Pelodiscus sinensis: one gene and its partner. The protein of the gene in region 2 interacts with the protein of the main gene of each other region in a biochemical or structural test. Links are inferred from orthologs where the notes say so. Each region holds a gene or a part of one and is shown on either strand. Other genes may lie near its edges.

The links.
Region 1: the proteins of PAX3 (region 2) and SOX10 form a complex in vitro, tested with the Homo sapiens proteins (2 studies listed by BioGRID and IntAct). The link is inferred for Pelodiscus sinensis from reciprocal best matches to the Homo sapiens genes PAX3 and SOX10.

The regions. Positions count from the first base shown.
Region 1 is NC_134711.1:92,113,479-92,121,604, forward strand, and holds the start of SOX10 (transcription factor SOX-10), read left to right. Parts: upstream 1-4,399; 5' UTR 4,400-4,588; intron 4,589-5,573; 5' UTR 5,574-5,623; coding exon 5,624-6,033; intron 6,034-8,126. UniProt on the Homo sapiens protein: Transcription factor that plays a central role in developing and mature glia.
Region 2 is NC_134720.1:15,726,982-15,736,026, forward strand, and holds the start of PAX3 (paired box protein Pax-3), read right to left. Parts: upstream 3,240-9,045; 5' UTR 2,491-3,239; coding exon 2,406-2,490; intron 1,024-2,405; coding exon 788-1,023; intron 1-787. UniProt on the Homo sapiens protein: Transcription factor that may regulate cell proliferation, migration and apoptosis. Involved in neural development and myogenesis. Transcriptional activator of MITF, acting synergistically with SOX10.

The DNA of each region.
Region 1 (8,126 bases), on a different chromosome or scaffold from region 2:
TAGAGGGAAACTGAAGGGGTTGTTGAGAGAGAGAGAGAACCCTTATCAAACTCCCAATTCATGGGTCTCCCTTTCCCTCAGCACACTGGCGTTATTGTTTGGCTATTGTGTGTGTGTGTTTTCCAGTGTCTGTTCCCCCCACTCTGACGCTGTTTTATTGTATGGAAAGATTTCACTGTGAGCTCCTCCCATTTTCCCATGCAGTCCCAGGACAATACCAGTCCTGTGCCCCTGAGAAGGGATATGGCACAAAAACAGCCGCTGTCATACTTACCCGGATTGCTGCTGGAGTGAAGCAGCTCAGGTATTTGTGGTGCATATATGATCACATGGCACAAGCTTGCTCTGGAACTTGAAGGAGAGGTTGGTTAAGAAGAAGTGCAGCCCTTATGCACCCAGAGCTTTCTTTGAAACAGCATCCCCAGACTTCTTGCTCTTCTTTCCCTCACCTCCTTGCTGCAAGGAGACTTCTTTTCCATCCCCCTACTTCAGACACACTCTTCCTCCTTCATGGGTCACATCCCAATAGAACTCTTATTCTTCCTGTCCTAGTCACCCACCAGATAGACACTTCAACTACCATGGAGTTGTCCCAGGGATGAATTTGTCTCTTGGTATCTCATCCATTTACTACTGCATTGTAACTACTCAGACCACTGAGCCTGGAGCCTGCCTTCAGACCTTCCTTTTGGACTTGTAGATGGCTCACCTATTCTTCTAGTCTTGATCCTTAATGCTTGGCTAAAAACAACAATATGGCCCCTATTACTATAGTATCCGAGTGCATCAGTCTTAATATATTCATCCACACAATACTTCTGTGAGGCATGGAAGTGCCATAATCCTCATTTGCAGATGGGAAATTGAGGCATGGAGCAACTTAGTCACTTACCCAAGGTTACACTGGAAGTCTGTGACACAGCAGGGTTCCCTGAGTCCCAGGCCAGTGGACTAACGGCTGGGCTACGATCCCTAGACTAAAACAAGTTTGAGACCCAGAAATCTTAGCTTTACAGAGATAATGAAAAAACATCATTTAACTTGGAAACGGGGATGGAAACCTTAAAGAGATTGCTGCCCGGGTACCTATTGGCTATGGTACTCTATGCAGAACCCAGGGGATCCTTATCCTTACAAAGATCAGTGCTGAAATTTACCAGATGTGATAGGAGATGTCTTGGCCATACACTATGTCCACACAGGAGCTCAAAAGTGTCATTTCCATCCTGAACAGAAAACCACGCTAGCTCTGATCAAGCTAGAGTGCTAAAACTAGAAGCGTTGCTGCAGCAGTGTAAGAAGTCAGAGGGACTAGTCAATCAAATAGGTATGTATGGTCTCGGAAGGTATCATATATGGGGCTGACAGCCCATCCTGCTACTCACACTGTATCAGCTATGCTTCTATTCTTTGTACGATAGCTTAATGAGAGTTAGAGTGGCTATCTCTGCTCCAGTTGGAAATTACACCTTGCAGCTGCCAAACCCGTTCATCTGAAGATAAAAAAGTGTCACCCACAATGATTCCTTGCAGAGAGATGGGTGCTGGTCTTCTCCCACTCTGCATCCTCTCATCTCAGTTAGAGAAATGATGCCACACCTTCAGCCACCCTGATACTTCCCACCATGCTGCCTTGATGCAATAGGAAAAGTTGGCAGGGCAGGAAATTAGGCTGAAATACTTGTGCTGCTCTCCAGTCTTTGAGGTACTTTGGGGGAGGGGAGAGGGAATCTGAAACGCAGAAGTGAAGGAAAACCAAAACACAAAAGATTTGGTCTCTTTGTCCCAGCACTGGGAAGGGTCAGTGTGTGCTCCCCACCCGCAAGTCCCTAGGGACACATAAGCATTGAAGAGGTGGGATCTCCAATCCCATCATCTCCCCTAGATTTAAGTGGGGTTCTCTTAGAGCAGGAGCTTCAATCCTCGAGTGCCTTATTCCCTACAGCTTTGCTACCAGGTCCTTGTAATCCCATTCTTGGGGGGAAAAAAAATCTCTTCCCCATTCTCTCTGTCTCCTGGGGTCAGCAGGATCCTGCACCTGGAGGGATGGGAAACAAATGCCCCATCTTATTGTATCCTGCTTTGCCCTTCCCCCATCCCAGGTTGGTATTAACTGCAGACAGGGGAACAATTAGGCCAGTGTTTCTCAGCCGTGGCTACCTCCCCATGGGACCAGGAGACAATCCCCTCCTCCTCCCTCAGGCTGTTCCTCTTCTCCATGGAGATTCCTGGATCCCTCACACAGGCTCTTGTCAGCCTAATGATGAACCATACTGACTAAAGAAGAGGTGCTCAGTTCAGCAAAGTCTGTGTGATACAGCAACACTGCACCTAGGGTGCCTTGATGATTATTATTGCTCTTGGGAAGAGGCCACCTGCCCCGGTTCTTTTTCCTTTAGTGGGGCAGTTTTAGCAGGTCATGAAAATCCCAATGAAGAGAAGATAAAAATGCCAAAAAATTCTTGTAAGACCAATGGGACTTCTCCTCACAGCCCACCAGAATGTCTGCAGGGAATACACATGTAGAGTGTCTTGCCAATAGGGGAGCGCACCCGTGTGAAAATGCCTGGGTCTCGCCTCACCAGCACCTGCACCATTTTAATCTAGGAATCAGGGCCTGAGATTTCTCCCCTGGGATCTCAACTGGGAAGTGTGTATATGAGGGGAAGGGGGGCTTACACACCTCACCTTCCCAGAGAAGATGGGACAGTACTAGGAAAGGTGCCATAAGTCCTCGTGTTACTTAGGTAGGAGAGAATCACCAGATTCTTGGCTTGGGCTTTTTTCACACAGACAGACAAACAGTAGTGGAGGAGAGGAGAGAGAAAGAGTTAAAATCAGCCTCCTGGTGGGGAGTTATTTGGTGCCACACCCCACCCAGAGAGCTGCCCTTTGGAGTATCTGAATACTACACACATGCCAAGTACTTGCTGTCAGTGAACCTGGCTTCATTAAGCTTTCAACATAGACTTCTTCTTTGGGCTCTAAAGCAGCTGTCCTTGGTGCCACTCTGGTTCTGGCCCTCACCACGTTGGATATTGTAGCTCAAATGCTCACCACCTGTCAGTGGTATTATTTCCCTGTCTCTTCGTGTGGCCATTATTTACTCAGTCATTCCATCACTGGGTCTTCTAGTGAGCCAAGCTCTGCTCCGGAGGTTCATAATGTCCTTAGAACTCCTTTGATGGAATTCTGTCCATGTCTCACCACAACTCGGCCTTTCTTCACACTGTAATTCCTGGCCCAGCACTGAAACACGTCCACGCTGACACACTATTCAGACTCCATGCCTAACGTTCTGGGCTGGGCTGGTTGGTACCACCAGACGGTATGGAAAGGCTGGTTCCAAGTCTTGAAATCTTTGCAGAGGGAATCCTGAATGGATACGTCACTGGGTTTTCAGCCACATGGGTGAGACAGAAAGTGATATTAGGAATCCAAAGAACAAAGTATTCTGGGAGGTTAATAGGAGAGAAAACAAAATGTGTAATGGAAAATATACTAATCCACGCTACCATGTATATCTTATGTGATCCAATGCACACGTGGGGGAGCGGGGAGGGTCAGATAATGAGAGTCAGAGAGTTCTTTCTGCAACTCCTGAGAATCCCCCTTCCTCACCACCATCCTTGTGTTGACAAGTCATAGAAGTGGTCCAGTCCTGCTTCCTATGTGACCAGAACCTGGGGTGTCTGCCACAAAACACTCCTAACACCGTATTGGCATGTAAGTGCTGGGTCAGTCCCATCTTAGGGGCAAAGGAGCACAAGTGAGGGAGTCAAACCCATGTCTTCTGCATGGTCACAAAGTATTAATCCCCCAAACCTTGTCATGTATCTAGAACACATCACCCCCAGGAAGCTCCTGGGTTATTCCCAGCCCTCACTAGCCTTATAGAATAAAAAACCAGGAGTGAGCATTTTGAATCTGGGCCTCCTTTATAGGACAGCAATAACCCACATTATACCAGACCTGTCCTCTGCAGTGCACACAGGTCCTGCTGGTCCTTGGGCAGCTGTGACTAGAACCTACCACTCCATGCTAACTCCTAGGTCACCAGGCCTGGCCCCTAGAAAAAAACCTGTTGGCTGAGGGCAAGAGAGACCAGGCAAGGAACTTAAACCCAGTCTTCTTAGATAACAGAACAGACCCCCTCACTATCCATGGCATAAACCACATCCTATTTTAATTCCCCAGGAGGGGGAAAAAATAAAATAAAAGTAGACTGCAGCGTTCCTGGAGAAGCCTGCACTCAAGAAAGCGAGGAGCATGCATATGCTGAGTTGGAGATTGGGGGGGGGGCTGTTAAGGTTCCCTCCCTGCCTGCATCAAATCAATGTATTCCAGTTATAAAGAGTGCTTAGCTCCACCTTCTGCCCTTCCCTCCCCCAGTGCTAAGCAGCAAGCCAGTCAGAGAGACATCCAGCCAGAGGATTAGTAAAAACCAAGTCTCCCTCTAGGAATGGCACTCGTCTGAGAGTCTCCTCCACGCAGGGCTCCTGTTCACTGCCAGCACTCTGAGAGAACAGAGGGGCTATTGGGATACAAATTACAGCCCTCTCAGGATTTGCCAGGCAGACCAGCCAACGTAAGTTTTCCTACCTGAACTCACTCACATGCTCACTCTCTTTTTCTACCTTCTATTACTTTTTCAGTTTTTTCTACAGGAAAAATCCTTGCCTGCCTCACTAGGGGAGCGGGCAGCTAATAACCCTACTCCCTATTGGATCCATTTGCTACTAAAGCAGGGGAGACAAATTTTTCTATCCACTTTTTTTTGGGGGGGGACTTTATTTTTTGAGCATTTCCTTCTTAAGGTGGAGAGACTGGTGCATGGTGGCAGAGATGTTTGGTGGTGGCCGCAGAGAGCAAGAGAGAGAGATGGGGTGGGGGAGATGTGTGAAACTGGCAAATTAAAGACTTGGCTTTGCCAGAGAGGCTTAAAAAGAAATATATACCTGTATATAAAGTGTTAGCGTTTCCACTCACAGACTTTCTCAGTCCGCATCAGCTACCTAACCCGGTAATTCAGGGGTGCGCTTGGGATTTGCCTCTAACTCAGCCATTCTCACTAAACTTTCTCCTGCCATTCTGAGACCTCTTCATTTTGATTTATTAATACAGAAGCCACTGGTTTCCCCTCCCTCCCCCCCATCTCTGTTCCTGGTCAGACTTTCAATATAGGTTTTAAATAGAAAGTGTCATCACCAAGGGCCAAATTTTGGGGGGCCCTATGGAGGATTATTCTTAGAGAATGGGGTGTATTTTGCCTTGATCTTTCCTTTTCCACTCTATGCCACCAATGTGCTCAGCTAGCAGCAGGCACCTCCATATGCCCACATTAAACTCCAGAAAAGAGCACAGATCGGGAGCTTCCAATTAATCAGGATCCCCGCCCCCACTCGATCATGGGTTTCATGGGTCCTGTGAGCTGCACGTATGGCAGCGCCTTTGATTTGCTTGTATCAAGTGGTTCCCATCCTGTGGCCAGTACTGTGAGAGGTTCAAATCTTTTTAGTTTGGGTGTTTGGTTTTTCTTTTTTTTTTCCTTTTTCTTTTTTTTTCCTTTCCAGTGGGAAGACGGGATATTGAGACAGGAGAGAGAGCAAGGGCAAAAGACATAATGACAGATGACCAAGACCTTTCAGAGGTAGAAATGAGCCCAGTGGGTTCTGAAGAACATCACTGCCTCTCACCGGGACCTTCCATGACATCAGATACCACCTCTCATCTTACCAGCTCTGGGAGCGGAGAGATGGGAAAGGTCAAGAAGGAGCAGCAAGACTCAGAGACGGACGACGATAAGTTCCCCGTGTGCATCCGGGAGGCAGTGAGCCAGGTGCTGAGTGGTTACGACTGGACCCTGGTGCCCATGCCTGTGCGGGTCAATGGGAGCAACAAAAGCAAACCCCACGTCAAACGGCCCATGAATGCCTTCATGGTGTGGGCACAGGCTGCCCGCCGGAAACTGGCTGACCAGTATCCTCACCTCCACAATGCAGAGCTCAGTAAGACTCTCGGGAAGCTCTGGAGGTAAGGAGGGCAGAAGGGTGAGGGCAAATGCAATCAGAGAGAGGCTGCATGTCAAGGTGAATGCTGGGAACAGAATGAGATTAAAAGGGCATCTATTAAATTCCCAACACGGGGGAAGATCACAGGGGTAAGGGAAAAGTACAGGAAAGCAAAGAACCAGCAATGATTTTTAGCATCAGCTATTTGGCGAGCTTCCTCTGCAAAGCTCTGCCCATGCTGCTCAGTCTTGACCTGCAGCCCCCACCTGGCTATACCACTCTCCCCCAGCATACCTCATTCTGGCCTGTCGAACCCCTTGTGACTCCAGTCCTAGGCCTCTCCTGAGGCTCAGGTACCTGAGTGTGTGTGTGTGTGTGTGTGTGTGTGTGTGTGAGAGAGAGAGAGAGAGAGAGAGAGAGAGAGAGAGAGAGAGAGAGAGAGAGAGAGAGAGGAGAAATCACCGTCTACAAGGATTGACTAGGCTGACTCCCTCCAACCTCTTTACACTCATGATTTCCTAAGGGCAATTGGAACAAGGTCTGGGAGGGCATGTCTACACAGCAGGGTTATTTCGGAATAATGGATGTTATTCTGAAATAACGTAGTGTGCGTCTACTCAGCAAGCCCGTTATTTCAAAATAAATTCAAAATAACGGGCTTCTTACTCCGACTTCTGTAAACCTCATGGTAGGAGTAAGAGAAGTCGGTGGAAGAGTGTTCTATTTCGAAATAAGCGCTATGTAGACACGCCCAAATTCAAAATAAGCTATTTTGACTTACGCTACCTGGAGATAACAGACTGGAAGGTCTTAACACCCAGAGCGCTATCTAGTGGGTTGGACTCTTGTTTATGACAAAGTCAAGAGAGAGCAAAGTAGCCAGGCAGTGATACCCAACCACACATCCCACCCAAAGAATGCTTTCTCTGATAGCCACTCACAGACTCAGCTAGCTGCTGGTTCTAGATTCCGCCAAGATGTCAATTTAAAATTAGCAACACATGGATTGCACAAGAGGGGCAGGAATGGGCTATCCCAGCAGAAAGTGGTGAAAACTAGAGAACAGTGAGGGATGGTGGAGAGAAGGGGCAGTTAGAAAAAGACTCCCACCGATGTACTGAGTATGCCTTGCCATTCACAGCTTTTTATGGCTGAACATTACTGTTTGTGTCTTATCAGACTGAAGGGGCTGCAACTCTGCCCCTGTGTGCAGGCCTGTGGCATGCAGTAAATAAGGAATAACAGTAACTCAGTAGCCATTCCTGTAGCGAGTTGGCACAGGCTGACACAAGCTTCCCACTCGCACTTTACACACTTACATGCTCATCCCTTGTACCCACACTACCCTTCAGTTTGTGAAAGCCATTTTAATTGTGGGTCCTTTCCCTGTCCTCCCTGCCCCCAGGATCCTTACTTAAGTCATCCCCTCTGGGACTGATAGGTTCTGCCAAGAGATGAGGCTGGAGGGACCACATATCACTCATGTGACACAAGGCATGATGGTTTCCATGAATGACTCCAGCAAATGATTATAAACACCCCACTCTCACCACGATTGTCCAAGATACATCCCGTCCCTCACCATCATTTCTCTGCCTGGTGCCTCCCATCCCAAATCAAGACCCCATCAGCTTCATGTGAATGGCCCTGGAATTCCACAGAGATAGAATAGGCCCCCTTTCATACCCTGCCCTTCCCTGGCACTGCCCTTGACAGGAGATGCTCACCTGCTGAATGGGGCAGGAGATGTCTCCTGAGAACAGCAGCAGCGAGACCAGACATTTCTCCAGAATAGAAGCAAACTCATGACCATCCCATTGCCACTTGTGGCTCAATTCTCACACTGATGTCCATCAGCTCCACCTGTGTGGGAGCATTAAGCCCCTGGGCATTGGCTTCTCCCTTGAGCACATCAAGAAGTTTATCCAAACCCCTCTGCCTTTCATGGAACTCAAGCAATATGATTCCCTTGGAGAATGACAGCAGGGAATTGTGGTGGGCCTCAAATCTGATTCCCATGCCTGGGTGTTTTTAACCCTTCCCATTTCCATCTCCCTCTGCCTTTTCCATGATTTCTCCAATCTCATGCTCATCTTTGGATACCATGCAGAATGA
Region 2 (9,045 bases):
AAGAAACTCGCAGAGTTTTAACATGGCTATTCCTGAGTCTTAGGGTACATGTATGTGTAAGTTGGGAAGACAGCTATGACAGGAGCTAGCTACAGTGCTAGATAAGGATACAGCAACATGCTAAAAAAAAAACAGAATATAGGCCCCGATCCTGTTAATTCTCCAGCTCTCGGATCCTGACTCAATGGCGAGACCAACTTCCTCAACCTGGACCAGCCACCCTGGAAATGCTCCACCCTTAACCGGCTCCTACAGGTTTTTTTTTGGGGGGGGGGGGTAGCCTATGCAGGGGCCATTCAGGGGAATAAGAGCTTGCAGGATCAGGCTTTGATTAGTTTCTGGTATTTTGAAAACTAAACGCTTAAGTATTTTAGGGAGTTACAGAAACAGGTTGGGGGTTACATACAAGAGAGAGAGAGAGTGTGTGTGTGTGTGTCCCTGCACACGCATATGGACAGGTGTGTTGATTACTAAGGTGTTTACATGGGCACAGACAATTATGCAGCCTTTGGCTGCATTTTGTCTCATATTAAATACAGTACACTGACTCCCCAGATGCTGCCACCTGCAAACCCTTAGCCAGGACCAGGCTTGTGTCAAGTTTACTAGCCCCAATAACGCTCCTATGTGCATCCTTTCCCAATCACCGCAAAAGCACAGTGGTCTCTCTCCCGTTCCCCCCATCTTTCAAGGTTCTGAGCGCCCTCCGTTCTCGCTGAAATCGAAGTAGCTTACACCTGGCAGGGCAGGGACCTAAACGCAGAGCCACTGCACCTGATCTCCTCACCTTGGGTTTGCTGCCCCCGATGGCCCCCGGCCGGATGGAGCCAGTCTCCTGGTACCTGCACAGGATTTTGGAGACGCAGCCGTGGGACACGCGCAGCTGGCGAGAGATGACACAGGGCCGGATCCCGTGATGGGCCATCTCCACGATCTTGTGTCGGATGTGGTTGGGCAAAGGCCTGCCATTGATAAAAACTCCACCGAGCTGGTTGACTCTGCCTTGGCCTAAAGGAGTGGACACTAGAAAGAAAGGGAAGCGGAGTTACTGATGTGTGTGTTTCACAGGCAGCCGCGACTTTTCGTCAGTCACCCAGCCACATACACCCAAACATACGCAAGTTCATCCGCTCCATCCCTGCACCAGGTTAGTGCCAGGTTGCCTGGCTGGACAGTTCTGGGATGGTTAGAAGCTTTGGGAGGCGAGCTAGAAGCAGTAGCTGACAGCTGAGTGTCATTTTCGCCCCCACCGGTTAAATAATGTTTCAGATTCATCAACAGAGCGCGCCTTCAGAGAATGGAAACGTTAAACCCGACTAATTCCAGATGCAACTTCAGGAGCCAGATGACATTGTATTCTCAGGCTAGTTACACAGTTACCACGGGGTCCTTCCTGTTAGGGCGGGAATTGAGCGCCCTTACAATTTCTGGGATATGTGACTCCATTCATCTAATCTAATCTAATCTAATCTAATCTAATCTAATCTAATCTGTCTGTCTGTAAAACAGACTGAAGGAGAAAACAAGCGTAAATTGTTCACCTGTTGCACTCTCCATCATTTACCACTGGGAAGACTTGTACTACCTACTTGAATTAACCGCTACTAGCAGAAGTGAAAAGGGGGAAATCATAAAACTCCCAGAGGAATCTTTTAAAGGATTTGGACTACGGAATTCCGATGTGCTTCTTGTTATTATAACATTTTACGCGTTTGCAAATTTCCGCAACTCTAAAATTATTAGGTTCTTGTTTCATTCTCTTTTCATTTCACCCTCAGCGCTCCTTTCACCGTTTTCACACAAACCAGAGAAACTTTAATCAAAAACAAAAACGTGAGAGAGACAGCCTACTCCAGGAGGACACGGGAAGTGGGCTGGTGTCTAAAAGCCCGTTTCAATGCTCTCAAGCATCCCCGTCCCCCAACTCGCTGAGGATCCGAAGCGATTTAGAACCGAATATCGCAAACCTTGTTCAGGCTCACTGTCCATTGGTATCCGTGGGCGTTTTCTCTGAGTAAGGTATGCGGGATCGGATCCCAAATTAAGAAGACAGAACCCCTATCAACAGGTTCTGCTTCCCTCCCCGTAAATTTATTCCGGCGCTCTAATTTACAGTGTTGTCTTCAACGCAGAATCCGTGCATCGCTTATGTGGAGAATGTTAATGCAAACAATGCACGTTTATTGGTGTGTAGATAGTGAAATGGAGTTTCTCTGAGCACTCTTCCAAGTTGTTAGGAGGAGGGTTTTTTCTTGCTCTAACCGTGTGCAGTTTCAGTTCAGTTCTAATCTATGATTTAATCTAAGTAACTACTGCACAGCGTTGGGTGACAAAAAGTTTCTCAGCAACACACACATGCATAGAGAGTTAAAAAAAAGCATCATGCATCTAGACAGCCTTCCTACCTTCTAATGGAAATCCGCTGCGAGGGTAGTTCTGCCCGGGAGCTGGTCGCATCATTCTTGGGACAGCTCCAGCTAGAGTTGTCATGTTGTACGCAGCGTTACTTGAATATTATATCCAGGTAAATGCTGATAAACGAGAGATCAGCTCTGGCAATAGATCCCAGTGGAAAAGTCCTGGAAAAAAGGGAGGGGGTAGCCGGGGCGGGGGGAAGCGACTTGCTCTCCTTTTGTCAACAAGACGTGATATCCCAAAGCAAAGGGGAGAGAGACTGACAAGGGGAAAGAAAGGAAAGCAAAGTTTGGGGCGAGGAGGGGAAACTTGCATACAAGTGGCGGGAAGGCGCTGAGACGGCTGCTGGCCCCTGTGGGAAGATGAACGCACTTTCATATGAAAAGGGGGAGGGGGCAGGAATGATTTCTTCCTGTTGTTGATACAGAGTGAAAGGAACTCTGCTCTGGAGTATTTATTAGTTCTTTCCCCAAAGCTTCAGCAGGATCTCTGAGCTGCGATTGGCCAGCCGGGAGACTGTCCCGTCTGGAGAAGACAGGAGCTGATTGGGTGAAATCTTCAACTTTCTCTTCTCATCATTACAATCGAGGCCTCAAACTAGGAGTGTGACCCAGGCATTGCCTCTTCTCTTGATAAAGTGTTCTTTCATAGAATGGCTGGGCAGGAGAAAATGCAGAAGCAGGGGAGAAAGCAGCCTTCACTGGGGAAATTGTTCATCCCTTTTACAACTGTCTTGGCACCATGCCACTTGAAGGAGATTACAATAAGGAAGCAACCAGACACTTGCATTTCTTGAAGTCGGTCTCTCTGGTCACCTTTTCTTTCCTGGGGGGATTAGAGAAATACAGAGCTGTATGTGGTCCTGGTCAAACAGCCTGCGAAAAATGAAAGGGGAAGTGGTGTGTCTATTGGTACAGTTCTTTGTCTGCCTCTTTCCAGCACATCTTCTCAGAGGATGTGTGAAGGGAGGAATAAAACTGTCCCCTCTCTCCCTCCCTCCACTGAAATCAGTAGCAATGGGGGGGGGGGTGTCTATGGAGCGAACGGCGCTATCTGGTTTTTAAGCCCAAGTCTCCATTGTTCCCATTGGGAATTTCTGCTTTAAAAAACGGATGGCAAGATGTGGCCCTACGTTATATATTTGTGTGTGTTAAAGTAAGTCTTGCTAGCAAGCATTTGTTCCCAGGAATTTATTGTAGTATTCAAACTAAACTGCTGGAAAAATAAAAGAAGTAAAGTCTGACTAGGAGCTGAAGTGACCACAGCAGGATATGACGCCAGGAGTGTTGTAAAGACTGTCTGTCCTTAAAGAAGGTACTATTGTGCATGTCCTTTTATTTATAACTTGGTAAGTGCCAGCAAACTCGCCTCCTTTGCACTCTGAAGTGCCAGCCCGGCTTTGCACAGTGCTCTTTATTTGCAATAGTCTATTCAGTAACTGTCACTCTCCAGCCTCAAGTTATTCAAGACCTTAATCAATCAAAAGGATGAGAATCGTTCAGGTTTCCCCCCCTTTGAAATAAAGGGAACAATGAGTTCTAGGCTTAAAGTTCCCCCTTTCCCTTTACGATTTTGGGAATGTTTCTGTTGCTGATTCCGTTCTCTTTGGGGATTAATGTTAGTTTAAAAATGTATCACTCATCAGCTGCATCAGCCTGCAAAATAAAATAAACCATGAAGAAGCCACAGGTCTCAGACTTTGCTCAGTGAAAACAAAAGGGCACCGCAGAAAGAGTTTTAGACAGCAAAATGAACGTAGTTCAGCGTGGAAGATGTAAAGAAAGAACCCCGCCTCGATGCTCTCATAATTAACAAATAGACAGTAATTTAAACTAGAGTCACGCAAATGCCATCACGATTAGTTATCTGGCTCCTAGTTGTTTACCAGGTTCCAGGCTGTTGATTCCGCACTCTCAGACCCTGCATATCAGAAATAAAATAAACGAGATCACTTTTAAAACGCACCATTTAAAAATTGTTAAGTCCCTCTGGACTCCGTCTGAAATTTGGGAATAGAGCCGATAAGAAAATATTTTTTAAAAAGCAGGTTAAGTTTGCGGAATAAAAAAAAGTAATATCTTCTGCTATCGAAGTATTTCATTGTTTATTTCTACCTAAAATACTGAGAGGACAAATTGAGGCTGTATGTAAAAAACTGGATTACTTTGCTTTTTCATAGCTATTTATATTTCCCCCTACATTGCAGTACTTATGCATGGTCATATGTTGAATGCATAAGATAACATTAAAATGTTTTAACACTGAAACTTTTGGAAACTTTCTAGGAAAGCTACAGTTTAATTTGGCCACGTGATTTGACATTTAATTTTAGATTCTTAAAATGGATATGGGGGAAATATGTTGTTTTATTTTAAACGTTGAATCGTGCTTGGAAAAAAAAAAAGCTAAAGCTAAAAAAGTGTGTGCATGCGGACTAAGCTGTTCAGTAGTAAAGAGACTACAATATTTCATAATATCCAGGCTTTCAACATATTGACCTCCCGAGCAATTGTACATTGCAGAGACGTGCCACCGGAAAGTGCATGCGGATATGATAGTCACATTGCTGATGAAGTACAGAGCAGTGATTTTAGCACCTGAATCTGCAAGTTAAGTCTGCAGTGTAAGACATATATTCTAAAAAAGAAGGGGGGGTCGCTACGCTGCAATGATAGGTGTGAAATGTCTGAACTACATTGTTTCATTCCCCCCCCCCCCCCCACCACACACACACACACGTTTTTCTTTTGACCCTACCCTGCGAGTGTGTATGTGGACTTAGCGGTGGCTCCGGATAGCTCTTCAGCTGGTAGCAGGAGAGAGGTCGAATCCCAGGCCGTCTTGGGGGCGGGAGAATGCATTTGCTGACAGTCATTGCTGCTTCGGTAAATCTACAATGATCAGGGGTCCATTTGGCACCAATTGAAGCCAGTGGGATTACCCCCCAGAAGGGTTAACTTCCCTTTGCTCGCCCTCATACAACCCGCCCATGCTTGAGCGTCCATGTAGGAAACTAGCTGAACTCACCACCTGTCTGTGTGCCAGATGAGGGTGCCCAAGGGATTGACTTAGGGGGTTACTTGACCAAACCCGTTGCTACCCCACCTCTGGAGGGTCCCTCTCCCCATAGCTGACATCATCCCTGTTCCTCCAACACTCCCTGCCTTTCCTGGTTTGTGGCCGACTACAGCCACCGCAAACAACAGTGGGCTCTGGACCCCCGCCCCACCCCAGCCACTTCAGGATAAAAAACCCTCTCCTCATCTTTCCTACCTAGCCAGGCCCCCATTATGGAGCTTTTCCCACCCAGGAAGCCAGTTGTTTTGTGGGGGGGGCTGTGCCAACTGCAGTAAATTGGGCCTCTGGACCAGAACCATTAGCCCGTCGCTCCGCAGTGGCACGGCTCGGTTTACATGCGCCTGAGCCCAACGCTTACATAAAGCAAAGAGGCTGGCTGGAGTTGGACCTGGCAACTGGAAAACTACTCCCCCCCCTTTAAGGCCCACAGGCTTACCAAGCGATCTCCGGCGAGCAATACAGCCCCAAGCCTGCACGCGGCCCGTGTGTTCCAGCCAACAGATTTTTTTTCTTGAAATAGGGGGAGTTTCGAGGGGGCGCGTGTTACAGACCTCAGAGCCTATTGCACCTCAGAGCCAGGCCTATGGATTTCCCCATAGCAGGAAACAGACCCAATGTTCCTGTACCCTGCATGGGGAAATGCACTCTACGGGAAATGCACTCGTCTTTCTTAGATGCTTCTTTCAGGGCATGCCATTAAACGGGTTCTCGGGGATGCGCCGCCCCCCCCAACCCAAACTTAGGAAAGGGAAGGAAACGAGGACTAACAAGACGCTCCACTCCAGCGAAGTAAAGGCAATGAAGCATTTCAGGGGCACGTCCGGGCTGTCTCTTTACTCGCTGTAGTTCCTCCCTGGTAGTATTTTCCCTTCAGAAATAGTATGATGGAAATAAAACGCGGAGCCTCCCGCACGCTCTTATCACACACCGCCGTTGGCTTTGGGGAAAGGAAATTACTTGGTTGCATTGCTTCGGGGCCCGATCCTGCCGCCACCGAAATCCATGGCAGTGCTCCATGGTTTGAATGGGGCCGGGATCAGGCCCTTCCCGACCTGTTATGGACGCCGGGTTCTATCCTGCTTCCCAATCACAACACTAGCAAAATGCTCGTTGACTCCAAAGGGACAGAATCAACTCTACGAAGCGTGAAAATGATTTCAAAAGCCACTTGCCCTGGGAGTTTTGCCTGAATTTGCAGACTCCGTCCGGCTCGTGGGTATCAATATCACAAAAGCCGAAATTGTGCCTCATCTTCTCCTGCTTGGGAACTGTTAAAATTCCAAGCAAAATGATTAGACATGAGTGCCTAGCCCCCCATATTAGAGTCTTTTAGCCCAGCAGAGAGGATTTCACGGTTTTCTAGTGGAAATAGCTAAAAATACTCCTGCTAATTACAGAGCCCTTCCAGGCCAGGTGCACTTTTAATTGGATTAGTAAATGCTCTATATTAAACCTGCAGCACATCAAATGGGCAGTGAAAATTAGAGCTATTAGGAACAGAGGCAATTATTTATGAATGATAACAGTACTGTTTTCTCCCCTATTACAAAAAATCAATTATAATGTGTTCGGGGCTCTGCAAATGTAGTGTGAATTGCTATTATTCTTATTTCTCCTGAAGACTGTTAAGCGTGAATTCGCCATAGGACTACTTCCACGGTGGTAAAATGTATTTTAAGTGTAAATTAATTTGAAAGAAAGAAAGAAAGAAAGAAAGAAAGAAAGAAAGAAAGAAAGATTTCATTCTGCACTTCATATTTAGTTGATATTTTGGCAACATATTTTATTGCAAAGCAGGCAATAATTTCCAGAAATAAATGCATAGGTGAAATTGTAGTTCTAAATTGTCCATGAAGGAGCAAGTCACCTTTCTGTCCGGATGATTTTGAAAGGAATTTGATGGTTTCTGCCTTACTTGGTTCTTGAAGGTTTGTTGTTGCTGGTTTTGTTGTTTGATATCAGTTTTTAGTAGGAAAGAGAGAGACCAGACTTGTGACTCCCCGCCCCCTTTATGTCCGTTGTTTTGTTCTTTTTGTGTTTCTAGTCATAACAGACACAATAAAAGAAAGCATAATTTGGGGTACAGAGGGTGCTTTGTTTCCAGCTAGGGAAATTTATTCTCTGGGAGTTTACAAACATATATCTTGGATAAAGGATGGAACTTTTTCCTTGATTTGAGGATGTCCCAAATCAGACGTTGAGGATTTTCTGTGGTTAGCCAAAGAGAAGCTAAAATTCACAGAGAAAAGGATGCACTTCTGATCTTGGACATTATTCTGCTACATTAAGAATTAAAGCCCCCGATTGGAAGAGTTTGCTTACTGGCAAAGGGAATATATTTTACTGCATAAAATCTAGAATTAAGCTAATAAAACCTTATTGAAGAAAAACTTACAAACGAGACCAATAGTTTGGGATTCATATTATAAGAATATTCAACATTTGCCAGGCTTAGACTTTGGACTACATATAAATGAAATCTAGAATATCCAGAGCTGAGAGATAGATAGACAATATGACACATGGTGTACTGTGGAGTGAAAATTAAGAATCTTCTACAATCTACCAGCAAATTTCACTAACAAACCAGATAAAACTATTCATAATCCAATTTCTTCCTTTAAAAAAAACTGCAGTAAACTGTGTGCAACAAGTGTTGCTATTAACAAACAAAAAAAAGAAAGCAATGTAGAGCAAGACTCGCATGGGAGTAGGAATCTACTTTACAAATGGCTTAGAGGAGTAGCCGTGTTAGTCTGTAACAAAAAAAATAAAAATAAAATAAAAACCCTGAAAAAACCCAACGATGATCTGTCGCGCCTTAGAGACTAACAACAATATATAAACAGTATCATGAGCTTTCGTGGGTGCAACCCACTTCTTCAGCTGAGAAATAATTAGAAAAGGTTTCACTGACATTTACATGTGGAGTCAAGTGCTATTCGAGGTAGGTAAATGGAGCAGAATCTGGTCTTTAGCGAGAAATAAAGATGAAAGGTCCTCAGGGAAAGATAAATTCTACCCTACGCACAAGGCAATGATTAGTGAACTATAGACTGAGATAGGAGATGTAGGGCTTTCCTCTAGTTCTAGAATTAGGCAATTTCCATAGCAAATATACGCGCACCAGGGTAGCTGCTTTTTATAGCCTTCAGACAGTAACACCATAACGCTAACCAAAGGAATATCCACAGCGGTGGACACGAGAAACTAAACAATAAAAGCATCGTTTAGATTTACAATGGGGCTAAAGACATGACAGATTTTCCCGTCCTCGAGAAAAGAAATCTTTAAAGAAAAGTACCAACCAGCAACAACATCCCCACTTTTCTACCCGTTACATAGAGCGGCCCTCGTTGTGACGTGTGCGTACGTTCTAATTTAAAGCATTGTTCTTATCTGCTCGAGACCGTGCAAAGCCGTGGGAGAAAGTTGTAACAGACAACAGGTCTGCGAAAGAATCGCGAAGTGACATGTTCCCTTTGGAGAGGTCTGGTTTTAAAAATCCCCTTGTTGGGTTAGCTGTCCCACCAAAGCTTAGTAAAAGATCAG